Saccharomyces cerevisiae S288C: one gene and its partner. Changing the gene in region 1 together with any one later gene gives a genetic interaction. Each region holds a gene or a part of one and is shown on either strand. Other genes may lie near its edges.

What was found.
Region 2: mutations in NTG2 (region 1) and MCR1 together harm fitness more than expected from each alone (negative genetic interaction), as found in Saccharomyces cerevisiae (one large-scale study listed by BioGRID).

The regions. Positions count from the first base shown.
Region 1 is NC_001147.6:245,706-253,832, reverse strand, and holds NTG2 (bifunctional N-glycosylase/AP lyase NTG2), read left to right. Parts: upstream 1-4,298; coding exon 4,299-5,441; downstream 5,442-8,127. Other genes in the region: 40S ribosomal protein uS19 RPS15, read left to right, coding at 256-684; rRNA-processing protein NOP12, read left to right, coding at 1,187-2,566; NGL1 (RNA exonuclease), read right to left, coding at 2,917-4,008; PEX15 (Pex15p), read right to left, coding at 5,532-6,683; serine/threonine protein kinase PSK2, read right to left, coding at 7,031-8,127. UniProt on the Saccharomyces cerevisiae protein: Bifunctional DNA N-glycosylase with associated apurinic/apyrimidinic (AP) lyase function that catalyzes the first step in base excision repair (BER), the primary repair pathway for the repair of oxidative DNA damage.
Region 2 is NC_001143.9:164,499-167,952, forward strand, and holds MCR1 (cytochrome-b5 reductase), read left to right. Parts: upstream 1-2,045; coding exon 2,046-2,954; downstream 2,955-3,454. Other genes in the region: NNR2 (NADHX dehydratase), read right to left, coding at 419-1,432; DBR1 (RNA lariat debranching enzyme), read right to left, coding at 3,114-3,454.

The DNA.
Region 1 (8,127 bases):
GTTTCACTCGGAGTAGGTTCTCTGAGAAACTCCTTGCTGGGAAGCTGCGAGACAACACCGTAATCGTCTGCTTGGCCCTTCCTATCCGCAATCAATTTATTCCTTTTTAATCTTTTGTGCAGAGTTTCACATTATGGTATGGTCTCTTCTTTTATTTGTTCTTGGATTTCATTTTTTTCTTATTTGTTAGTGCTTATCCTTACATTGTAGAATAAGACGAACTAGAAGTACACAACAAGATAATCACGACCGATCATGTCTCAAGCTGTTAATGCCAAGAAGAGAGTTTTTAAGACCCACTCTTACAGAGGTGTCGATTTGGAAAAATTGTTGGAAATGTCCACTGAAGATTTCGTCAAGTTGGCCCCAGCTAGAGTTAGAAGAAGATTTGCCCGTGGTATGACTTCCAAGCCAGCCGGTTTCATGAAGAAGTTGAGAGCTGCCAAGTTGGCTGCCCCAGAAAATGAAAAGCCAGCTCCAGTCAGAACCCACATGAGAAACATGATCATTGTTCCAGAAATGATCGGTTCCGTCGTCGGTATCTACAACGGTAAGGCTTTCAACCAAGTTGAAATCAGACCAGAAATGTTGGGTCACTATTTGGGTGAATTCTCCATTACTTACACCCCAGTCAGACATGGTAGAGCCGGTGCTACTACTTCCCGTTTCATCCCATTGAAATAAGCTCCCTAATAACAGAATCGCAGTCATCCTTGTATCTTTTTTATATATAATGTCTAGGTATTAGGAAAATAAAATTTTTGTTTATTGGTATTATTATTATAATCTATTATATTATATTTGTTTAATTTCTTTTATGAAGTGAATGGGGGTTGTACACGGAAAGCAACAATAGCACTTGTTTCCGCAGACAGCTTTTAAATTGCCTTCCATCATTACTGTAAATGTTCGTCCTCATATATGATATATATTGTAAGCGGACGTGAAACCTCAACTCAAGTGCTTCATTTACTGTCACGGACTACTTTCATCAACTTTCTATTTTCTTTGATATATTGATCACTTAAAACGAACTTCGAAATTTTTTCAAGCTCATCGCAATTTTTTTTTGCTTGTCTAAATTTTAAACTGTTATATTGAAGGTAGATAGCTTGAGGCACTTTATTAAGAAAACAGTCGACATATCATCCACCAGATTATCACGCTATAAATTTTAAAGTGAAAAATGTCCTCTGCAATTGACAATCTCTTTGGTAACATTGATGAGAAAAAAATAGAATCTTCAGTAGATAAGCTATTTAGTTCATCCTGTGGACCTATTAATAAATTGGAAGTCAAAAGCAAAACACGTACTGTCCTTCCTGATTCGAAGAAAAGGGAAAGAGCTGCCGAAGCTGATCAAGAAGAAAAAGAAGCAAGCAAACCTGATGTTTCAGATGAGCAAACTGAAGAAGTTGCCCTTCCAAAAGTAAAGAAGGCCAAAAAAAGTAAAAGGAATGACGAGGATGAAGACTTAGAAGCCCGCTATTATGCGAAACTACTAAATGAAGAAGCTGAGGCTGAGGATGATAAACCAACAGTAACGAAAACTGATGAAACTTCAGTACCACTGACATCAGCAGCTAAGAAAGTTGATTTCAAAGAAGACGAGTTAGAAAAGGCAGAAAGAACTGTTTTCATTGGTAACATCTTAAGTACTGTCATCACATCTAAAAAGGTTTATAAAGAATTCAAAAAACTTTTTGGTACAAATCCGATAGCAGAAACTGAGGAATCTGGTAATGAAAAAGAAGAGGAAAGTTCTAAGAAAAGTGACAATAACGAATTTGCCATTGAAAGCATAAGATTCAGATCTATTTCCTTTGATGAAGCTCTTCCTAGAAAAGTTGCGTTTGTCCAACAAAAATTTCATAAGTCAAGGGATACAATAAACGCTTACATCGTCTATAAGAATAAGTCTGCTGTAAGAAAAATCTGCTCGAATTTGAATGCTGTCGTTTTCCAAGATCATCACTTAAGAGTTGATTCAGTTGCTCATCCAGCTCCGCATGATAAGAAGCGTTCAATCTTTGTAGGTAACTTGGATTTTGAAGAAATAGAAGAAAGTCTTTGGAAACATTTTGAACCATGTGGCGATATTGAATATGTCCGTATTATCAGAGATTCAAAGACAAATATGGGTAAGGGATTTGCTTATGTTCAATTTAAAGATTTACAAAGTGTAAACAAAGCACTTTTATTGAACGAAAAGCCTATGAAGTCACAAAAACAAGAAGACGAAAATACAAAGAAACCAACTAAAAAGGCAAGAAAATTGCGTGTTTCCAGATGTAAGAACATGAAGAAGGGTACTACTATTGGGACCGGCTTGGATAGAAATGGGTTGACAGATTCACAAAGAACCAGAGCAGGTAGAGCTAAAAAGATTTTAGGTAAGGCTGATAGAGCCACTTTGGGCCAAGAGATAACTATCGAAGGTTTAAGAGCAAAGAAAGGCGAAGGTTCCACCCATCTAAAAAAGAAGAAACAAAGATCCGCTACAGGTAGGGTTACCAAAAGATCGATAGCATTCAAGAAAGCTCAAGCTGAAAAGAGCAAGAAATAGTTTCATTAGTTTTCACACAATATCAATTTTGTTAGAGATACACTGTATATTATTACTAGTTATTTCTTATCTCTTGTAGCTTCCTCTATACATGCTGGCATTTTTTTACATAGTTCTAATAGTATAATATACATATAAAAAAGAAAAATCATGCGTTTTATATATTTCTATAAATACATTCATACCCAAATTATGGAACACGTTCGGAATATTACTTAAAGAATACTGCAATAATGGAAAGAATATTTGAAATGAATAAAAAGTATGATAACAAGGTTATAAGAGAGGTACAAATAAAATAAAACAAGGAATGAAGAAAAAAAGCACAAAAAAGGCAAGATAGTAATGCCTCACAGTATTTTGAATTCTGTTAGTAGAGGTATATGATCACTAGGATGGTTTTCATTGGGTAAACCCAACTGATTAGACGCTAGCAATTCGTCTGATACTTCATTACCGGTTAGGATCTTAGTTAGTAAAAAATCTGAATCATGGTACCATACGTAATCAAAGATGCCCTTCAATTTTCCTGAATAGCACGTATGTACAAAATAATCCTTTGGTATATCGTCATAGACACAACGATCCAAATACGGCCTCATTGGGTTAATAAGATTAAGGTCTCCATGGCTAACTATCTGACCTTGCAGAAAATTAACAACTAGCGAATCTCTTGTAGAATTTAGATCACCAGTGAATAAAATCTTCACCCTTTCTTGGCCTTTTACATCTCCCGGTAGGAGCTGCTTAATGATCTTTGATAACTCTCTCATTATAATCATGCATTGTGTTAGCTTAACTTCGTCATATTTCCAATACAAATGAGTATTTAAAACGACAAAAATAGTACCCGTCTCCTTATGTCTTAGAGATACGAATAAGCATACCTGATTCTTGCCTTTTAAAACATCCAATAAGCTGTCTTCACCAATAACATTGGAAGCACCATCGGTTAATGTTACCTTCTTATTGTATAAGTATTTCAGTTCCCTTTGATTGAAAACATTCAGTAGCTGGTTTAAGTAGATCCCTGATGACGATATAAAGTCAAATTTTGCAAGATTATAGAAAATAGATACACCGTCCATATCTTTAACCGGTTTTTTCCAATACTTTGGGGGTGTCTTGGAAATGAATTTGGACCCATAATTGACATCTACCCCTATGGAATCGTGCCAATAATCTTCATAATCTCTTGCGGTCATTTCTTGGAGACACATAATATCAGCCTTGAAAGTATTCAAAAGTTCTTTCTCCAGCAGTCTGTGCCTATAACTCCAGTTTTTGTATGGCTCTGCAACGTATGTGTATACCTGTGGCCACATATATGACGGTGAGAGCATGTTGTATGTTAATAAAGTGAACCTAGCATCTTTTCGCACATATTTACCGATGTTTTGCTTAGTTGACTGAACAACTGGAATAAACCTTCGAGTAAACATTGTTACTTGTATGAGCAGTAAATCTCTCTCCAATGTTCTTTTTTGCCGTTATCCAGCTTAGTTTGTGTAGATCTCCTTTCTTCTCTAACAGGAACAATTAAACAACTCATGGTTAATTTGTTAGTTTTGTTGCCGAGAAATCAAAATCAGCTGGTGAAGCAGTTATCCTAACTTGGGAATATACATGTAGTAGAAAGGAAGGAAGGCAAGGACCTCTTTAGCATTTTGAATCTGTTGCTTATTGGGAGCACACAAAAAATGTATAAGCACAACGTCTTTCACAGTATATAATGAGAGAGGAAAGTAGGTCTAGGAAGAGAAAGCATATTCCTGTTGATATTGAAGAGGTAGAAGTTCGATCTAAGTATTTCAAAAAGAATGAGAGAACTGTTGAGTTAGTAAAAGAAAATAAAATCAATAAAGATTTGCAAAATTACGGCGGAGTAAATATTGACTGGATCAAGGCACTGAAGCCAATAGAGTATTTTGAATGGATCGAATCAAGGACTTGTGATGATCCGAGAACTTGGGGACGGCCAATAACTAAAGAAGAAATGATTAACGATTCTGGGGCGAAAGTTCCTGAGAGTTTCTTACCCATATATAATCGGGTGAGATTAATGAGGTCCAAGGTTAAAACCCCGGTAGATGCTATGGGATGTAGCATGATTCCTGTTTTAGTTTCTAATAAATGTGGGATACCTAGTGAAAAAGTCGATCCAAAGAATTTCAGGCTTCAATTTCTTATTGGCACTATGCTTTCTGCTCAAACGAGGGACGAAAGGATGGCGCAAGCGGCTTTGAATATCACCGAATACTGCTTAAACACATTAAAAATAGCAGAGGGTATTACGCTAGATGGACTGCTTAAAATTGATGAACCTGTATTAGCAAATCTAATTCGATGCGTTAGCTTCTATACCAGAAAAGCCAATTTCATCAAAAGAACCGCACAATTATTGGTAGACAATTTCGATTCAGATATACCGTATGATATAGAGGGAATTCTCTCGTTACCTGGAGTTGGACCTAAAATGGGATATTTAACACTGCAAAAAGGTTGGGGGCTGATTGCCGGCATATGCGTCGATGTTCATGTCCATAGGCTGTGTAAAATGTGGAATTGGGTAGACCCTATTAAGTGTAAGACTGCCGAGCATACTAGAAAGGAGTTACAGGTTTGGCTACCTCACTCACTGTGGTACGAAATAAACACCGTTTTGGTTGGATTTGGTCAATTGATCTGCATGGCCAGGGGTAAGAGGTGTGATTTATGTCTAGCAAACGATGTCTGCAATGCTCGCAATGAGAAGCTAATCGAATCTTCCAAATTTCATCAATTGGAGGACAAAGAAGACATCGAGAAAGTATATTCGCATTGGTTGGACACGGTTACAAATGGAATTACAACAGAAAGACACAAGAAAAAATAGAACCACCATTCATTGTGGAAAAAGATGAAAAACCATTATGTATGTCATTAAAATAAGTAGGTAGGGTTTTATAAACTATTCAAATATTTCTCATATACTCGCTAGAAGTTTTAGCAACCCTACAATCTGGGGGTATACAGTGTGAAAGGCCGCTGGAACATGTTTGAAAATTGCCATCAATGACTTATATTTTTTCAAACATAAGAGTAGCAGCAGACCTGTGAGCAGAAGTCCGTTTTTGTTCAGCACACTTCTTGTGAAATGATGCTTCAGGACAGCCCAAAATGAACCAGCCAGAACAGTAATATCATTGTTTTTTTTACGGGGCGCCGTTCCAGTACTCTGGAGTCTACTATCAGTAGAGGTGCGTTGATTAAACGCATCCTCAACCTTAACCTGTTCTTCACTACTATTGTGTAACATAGGCTCGTGAAAATGGTGTATTTTCTGTTTCACTCCTCTTTGTTTACCTTTAGACTTCGCCTTATCTTTTTGTATTTTATTATCTATTGAGTTCAGAATAGCATCCTCTATGGAAACATCTTTAGATAAGTAAAGGCCCTTTAGGGTTGGAGATAACTTAGGTAATGTTTTGCAAAGCGCCCAATACATATTCGGTGAGGGTTTTTTATGATGCAGTTTTACCTTCACCTGAAAGATGAATATCTCGATTAATTCTTGTAAGCCAACTACATCTATAGTTGTCCTCATTTTCGTTATGTATACGAAAATGAAATCACTCATTATGGATTCAAGCTCCAGAGTTTTTTCTTCTTGTTCGGTGTGATCAGTTAAGTTAAACTGAATAACCTTGATACAGCATCGAAAGAATTTATTGATGACCAAAAGTTTACTGAGGTCACCGAGAATAATTTTTCTTGTCTCAATACATTGAGGGGTATCTAACGTGAAAATATTCAAAATCTCACTCTGCAGTGTTAAACCTAATTTGGTAAAGCTGGGCATAATATCACAGGCGCTGACAAATAAATCTAATATCATAGGGTTGGACTTGAAAACGGTAATATCAATAAATCCAACCTCAGACATTTTTTCTAGGCAATCCTTGATATCTCTTTTTATGAAAAGGTTCACACATTCTTGAAATACTTCACTCCTCTGATCATTTACCGACTTGGTCGATTCATCACTTTCAATGAATAAGTCATCGTTAAGTAAATCCCTTAGAGAAGAATCGAGGGAATGCATAGGCAGATTGTTCATTATCTCACTTGCAGCCATTATTCACAGAACCCTCTTGTATAAACCACACCGTAGTACGTTCTGCTAGTGCCTCTTTCTGTTTACCTAACTATTTCTCTTGCCTAAATATGTAAGTCTACGATGACTTTTCTATGGTACTTGATGTCACTCCGACGGCGATAAGCCGCTCAGCGCAGAAGTTTGCCCCAAAATAGAATGAAAGAAAATACTGCATAGAGGCTGGACAAGAAGGATATAGAGCAATGATATGATATTAAAAATGTAATTAATATATAGCCAAAAAAAGAATAGAACATTTATGAAGGTAAATGGTTATGAAAATGGATTAAATTATTCTTTCCCTTTATCTTGGAGAGTACGGAAAACTAGATTTTAAGCCATTTATCTTCATATATTTCATCAATAGTAGGTCTTTTATCAACTTCTCTTGTCAAAATTCTTTTTATCAAACTGATGCATTCTTCACTGACATGTTCCGATTTATCGAACCTTAATTCACCTTCCAAGATTTCATCAATGTTGTAATAAGGATTCTCTTTATAAATTATGGTATAAAGTAGCACACCAAGAGCCCAAATATCTTGTGGTTTACCTTTGTAAGAGGAACCACCAAGGACTTCAGGTGCAGCATAGTCCATTGTTCCCACAAAAACATCGAATGGTCCACTCTTGATATAGGCAGCCGAACCGAAATCGATTAATTTTACAAAGCCATGAGAATCAACAATAACATTTTCGTCCTTTATGTCTCTATGAACAATTCCTTGGTCATGTAAATGCTTTATACTAGCGACTACCTGTTTAAACACCAGTTTAGCTTCATGTTCAACCATATCTTTTTTGAATTCGATAACATCAAATAGATCAATACTACCAGTTTCTCCATGGACCGGTGTTTCAATGTAATAATAATCGTCATCTTCAAAAAAATCTAATAACTTCAAGATATTTTCTTGGGAATTTTTATTCAAGGTCGCCATAATTTGGATCTCAGAAGGTATAGTACCTAATTTTCTATCTCTCACCCATGTGTCTACTAAAATCCTCTCTTTGAAAATCATTTTGATGACCACGATATAGTGTTCTCTGTTATGAATGCATAAATTGACTTTACCGTACGCACCCTCACCCATCACTTGCAGAATAGTAAAATCAGAAAATTTCTTTATGCGCTTTTGTGAGCCTATATTAGCCTCTGGAGTAGTCAAGTACGTAGCTTTTAAAGTAGAATTTCTTTTGTCTAGCTCATTTGTTTCCTTTTTGATTTCTTCTCCGTTTATCGGTTCAATTATCCTCATTATAAATTTTTCATCCACTTTAAAGTTGTCGTCCTTTACAAATTTTGATTTGTCCTGCGTGTACATTTTCGTTAATTCAATTTTATGTTTTAACTCAGGATCATCAACCATTGTCATGTCATCGTCATAGTTATTGTTGTCATTAGATTCGATACCTCTCACTT
Region 2 (3,454 bases), on another chromosome or scaffold:
GTTCATTATTTCTTCTTTGTTATATAACAAACCCAAGTAGCGATTTGGCCATACATTAAAAGTTGAGAACCACCCTCCCTGGCAACAGCCACAACTCGTTACCATTGTTCATCACGATCATGAAACTCGCTGTCAGCTGAAATTTCACCTCAGTGGATCTCTCTTTTTATTCTTCATCGTTCCACTAACCTTTTTCCATCAGCTGGCAGGGAACGGAAAGTGGAATCCCATTTAGCGAGCTTCCTCTTTTCTTCAAGAAAAGACGAAGCTTGTGTGTGGGTGCGCGCGCTAGTATCTTTCCACATTAAGAAATATACCATAAAGGTTACTTAGACATCACTATGGCTATATATATATATATATATATATATATATATATATGTAACTTAGCACCATCGCGCGTGCATCACTGCATGTGTTAACCGAAAAGTTTGGCGAACACTTCACCGACACGGTCATTTAGATCTGTCGTCTGCATTGCACGTCCCTTAGCCTTAAATCCTAGGCGGGAGCATTCTCGTGTAATTGTGCAGCCTGCGTAGCAACTCAACATAGCGTAGTCTACCCAGTTTTTCAAGGGTTTATCGTTAGAAGATTCTCCCTTTTCTTCCTGCTCACAAATCTTAAAGTCATACATTGCACGACTAAATGCAAGCATGCATGATATAGCTCCTGTCAAAGTATCACCTTGGCCTCCTACCCTCTTGTTGCTGCCCTCTTCGCTGTTCGTCAACATGTCTTTTTCACTATCGGGTGAGAATATCTTATCTGACTGACCTTTCTCCACCACAATACAATTCAATTCCTGGGCGATCAAGCTGCCCATCTCGGAGTGAGAGTCTCCCTTCTTGCCTATGGCATCACATAGTCTTTTGAATTCTACCACATTGGGCGTCAAGATCACTCTACCTTTGGGGTAGCTTTTCAGCATTTCTTTGACTTCGCTATCTTGAGTTACTAAGAACAGTCCATCAGCATCAATTACTAACGGGATCTTGCCCTCATGTTTTTCAAGTATATATCTTATGATATCCTTAATGGATTTTAACATTAGGGGGTCCCTACCCAAGCCGGGTCCAATTACCACAACGTGGATTCTATCCAATAAGGAATTGATTTTCTTCCTTTGTTCGTCCATATCAACGTCTAATTTGGTGTTACTCATACGAAGGTATGGATGAACCATTAGGTTTGGGGTGTACGATTTAATGACCGTACCAGCGTTGTATTCGCAGATGACATGTGTCAAATCACAGCCCATCAAGGCTGTAGCATTGGCGCTGAAATACGGTGCCCCTGTATAATCTTCGCATCCTCCAATAATGCAAACTCTCCCACCAGACTGTCCCTTATGAAACTTTGGCAATAAAGGTGGTATACATCTTTTCTGCGCCAACTTTATCAATTCTCTATGAGACAATTCTGCTAACATTTCCAGTGATACGGTAGTGATCGTATTGAACTGGTGTTGCTAATAAAATTTCACCGACGCCTATATACCTATTTACACCTTTACATATATATCTACTAGATCACGTTGCAAGACCCATCACATCGCATCACATCACATCACTCCCTATTCTGCCCTTTACAGCGCAAAGGAGTCGTGTGTGGGTGTGTGCTCCTTTTGACGATCATAAGAGTCCATTTCTAGTATGCAAGCTGGTAACAATAGGTGAATGAATTAGGTTCATTTGCGATGACCTTCAGTATCCCTCCACGCAATGCTAAACTATCCCCCTCATTATGACGCCTATATCGTATAAGGAACTTGTTACCCCTGACAATTCAAACTTCAAAGGTCTAAGACCAAACAAGCGTAGGAACTATCGCTCGGAGTGTTTCTCCGTTTGAAAAAAGAAGAGAAATAAGGGCCCTTGATTGGTGTCTTGTCGAGAGAGGTACGTATATAAGAATGCAGTTTGCTCGCAATGCCCGCTTGTGTTAAGTACTCTTACCTTTTCCCTCAATACTAACGTTTTGAAGCAGCCAAACTAACAATAGTATAACGTATATAGGTTAAAATAATATTCCAAGTCAAAAACATGTTTTCCAGATTATCCAGATCTCACTCAAAAGCATTACCGATTGCTCTAGGTACAGTTGCTATAGCAGCTGCTACCGCATTCTATTTTGCAAACCGTAACCAACATTCCTTTGTCTTCAATGAATCTAATAAAGTGTTCAAAGGTGATGACAAATGGATCGACTTGCCAATATCTAAAATAGAGGAGGAATCCCACGACACCAGAAGGTTTACTTTTAAGCTGCCTACCGAAGACTCAGAAATGGGGTTGGTCCTAGCATCTGCTCTGTTTGCTAAATTTGTCACACCAAAGGGATCCAATGTGGTGAGACCATACACTCCTGTGAGTGATCTTTCCCAGAAGGGTCACTTCCAGCTGGTCGTCAAGCATTATGAAGGTGGTAAAATGACCTCACATTTATTTGGTCTTAAACCAAATGACACCGTTTCTTTCAAGGGTCCTATTATGAAATGGAAGTGGCAACCTAATCAGTTCAAGTCAATCACCTTGTTAGGTGCCGGTACCGGTATCAACCCTCTGTACCAATTAGCTCATCATATAGTTGAAAACCCAAACGACAAGACCAAAGTTAACTTGCTATATGGGAACAAGACTCCTCAGGACATTTTACTAAGGAAGGAACTGGATGCGTTGAAGGAAAAGTATCCTGACAAGTTCAATGTTACTTACTTTGTTGACGACAAGCAAGATGACCAAGACTTTGATGGTGAAATTAGTTTCATCTCCAAAGATTTTATTCAGGAGCATGTTCCAGGTCCAAAGGAAAGCACACATTTGTTTGTCTGCGGTCCCCCACCATTTATGAACGCTTACTCAGGTGAGAAGAAGTCACCTAAGGACCAAGGTGAATTGATCGGTATCTTGAACAATTTGGGCTACTCCAAGGACCAAGTTTTCAAATTTTAAGCATGGAGGAAAGTAATTGATATTTTTTTTAATTTCGGATCGTTCAAATTAGTAAATATATAAAAAATATATATATATTCATGTGTATGACTAAAAATTCTCTCAAGAAGGCTTGGCTTTAAGCTCTAATTCCGTCTGCATTCGTAATAGAAATATCTCTCAAGTCATGAATTTAGAGATAAATGCTTTAGTTTGTCGTACTTCATCTTTCTGAATATCTAAGGTGTATGCAGGAATGGCATAATTTTCCCAATCAATATCCCTTCCTTCCTCTCTATTAGATTGAGACAGTTCTATCCAATTGACGCTATTAAACGGTTTATTGCTTAGGAGATTCTTATTTTTTTGACAAATTACCAAATTATTGATAAATTCAGGATCCCAGAACATACGGTGATTCTCGTCCTTCCACGAAGCATGCGATGTATCCGGTTCTATTTCCAGAATTTCTAACCAACGTCTTCTTGGCAGGCACTTGTCCAACGCCAAGAACCGTGTCT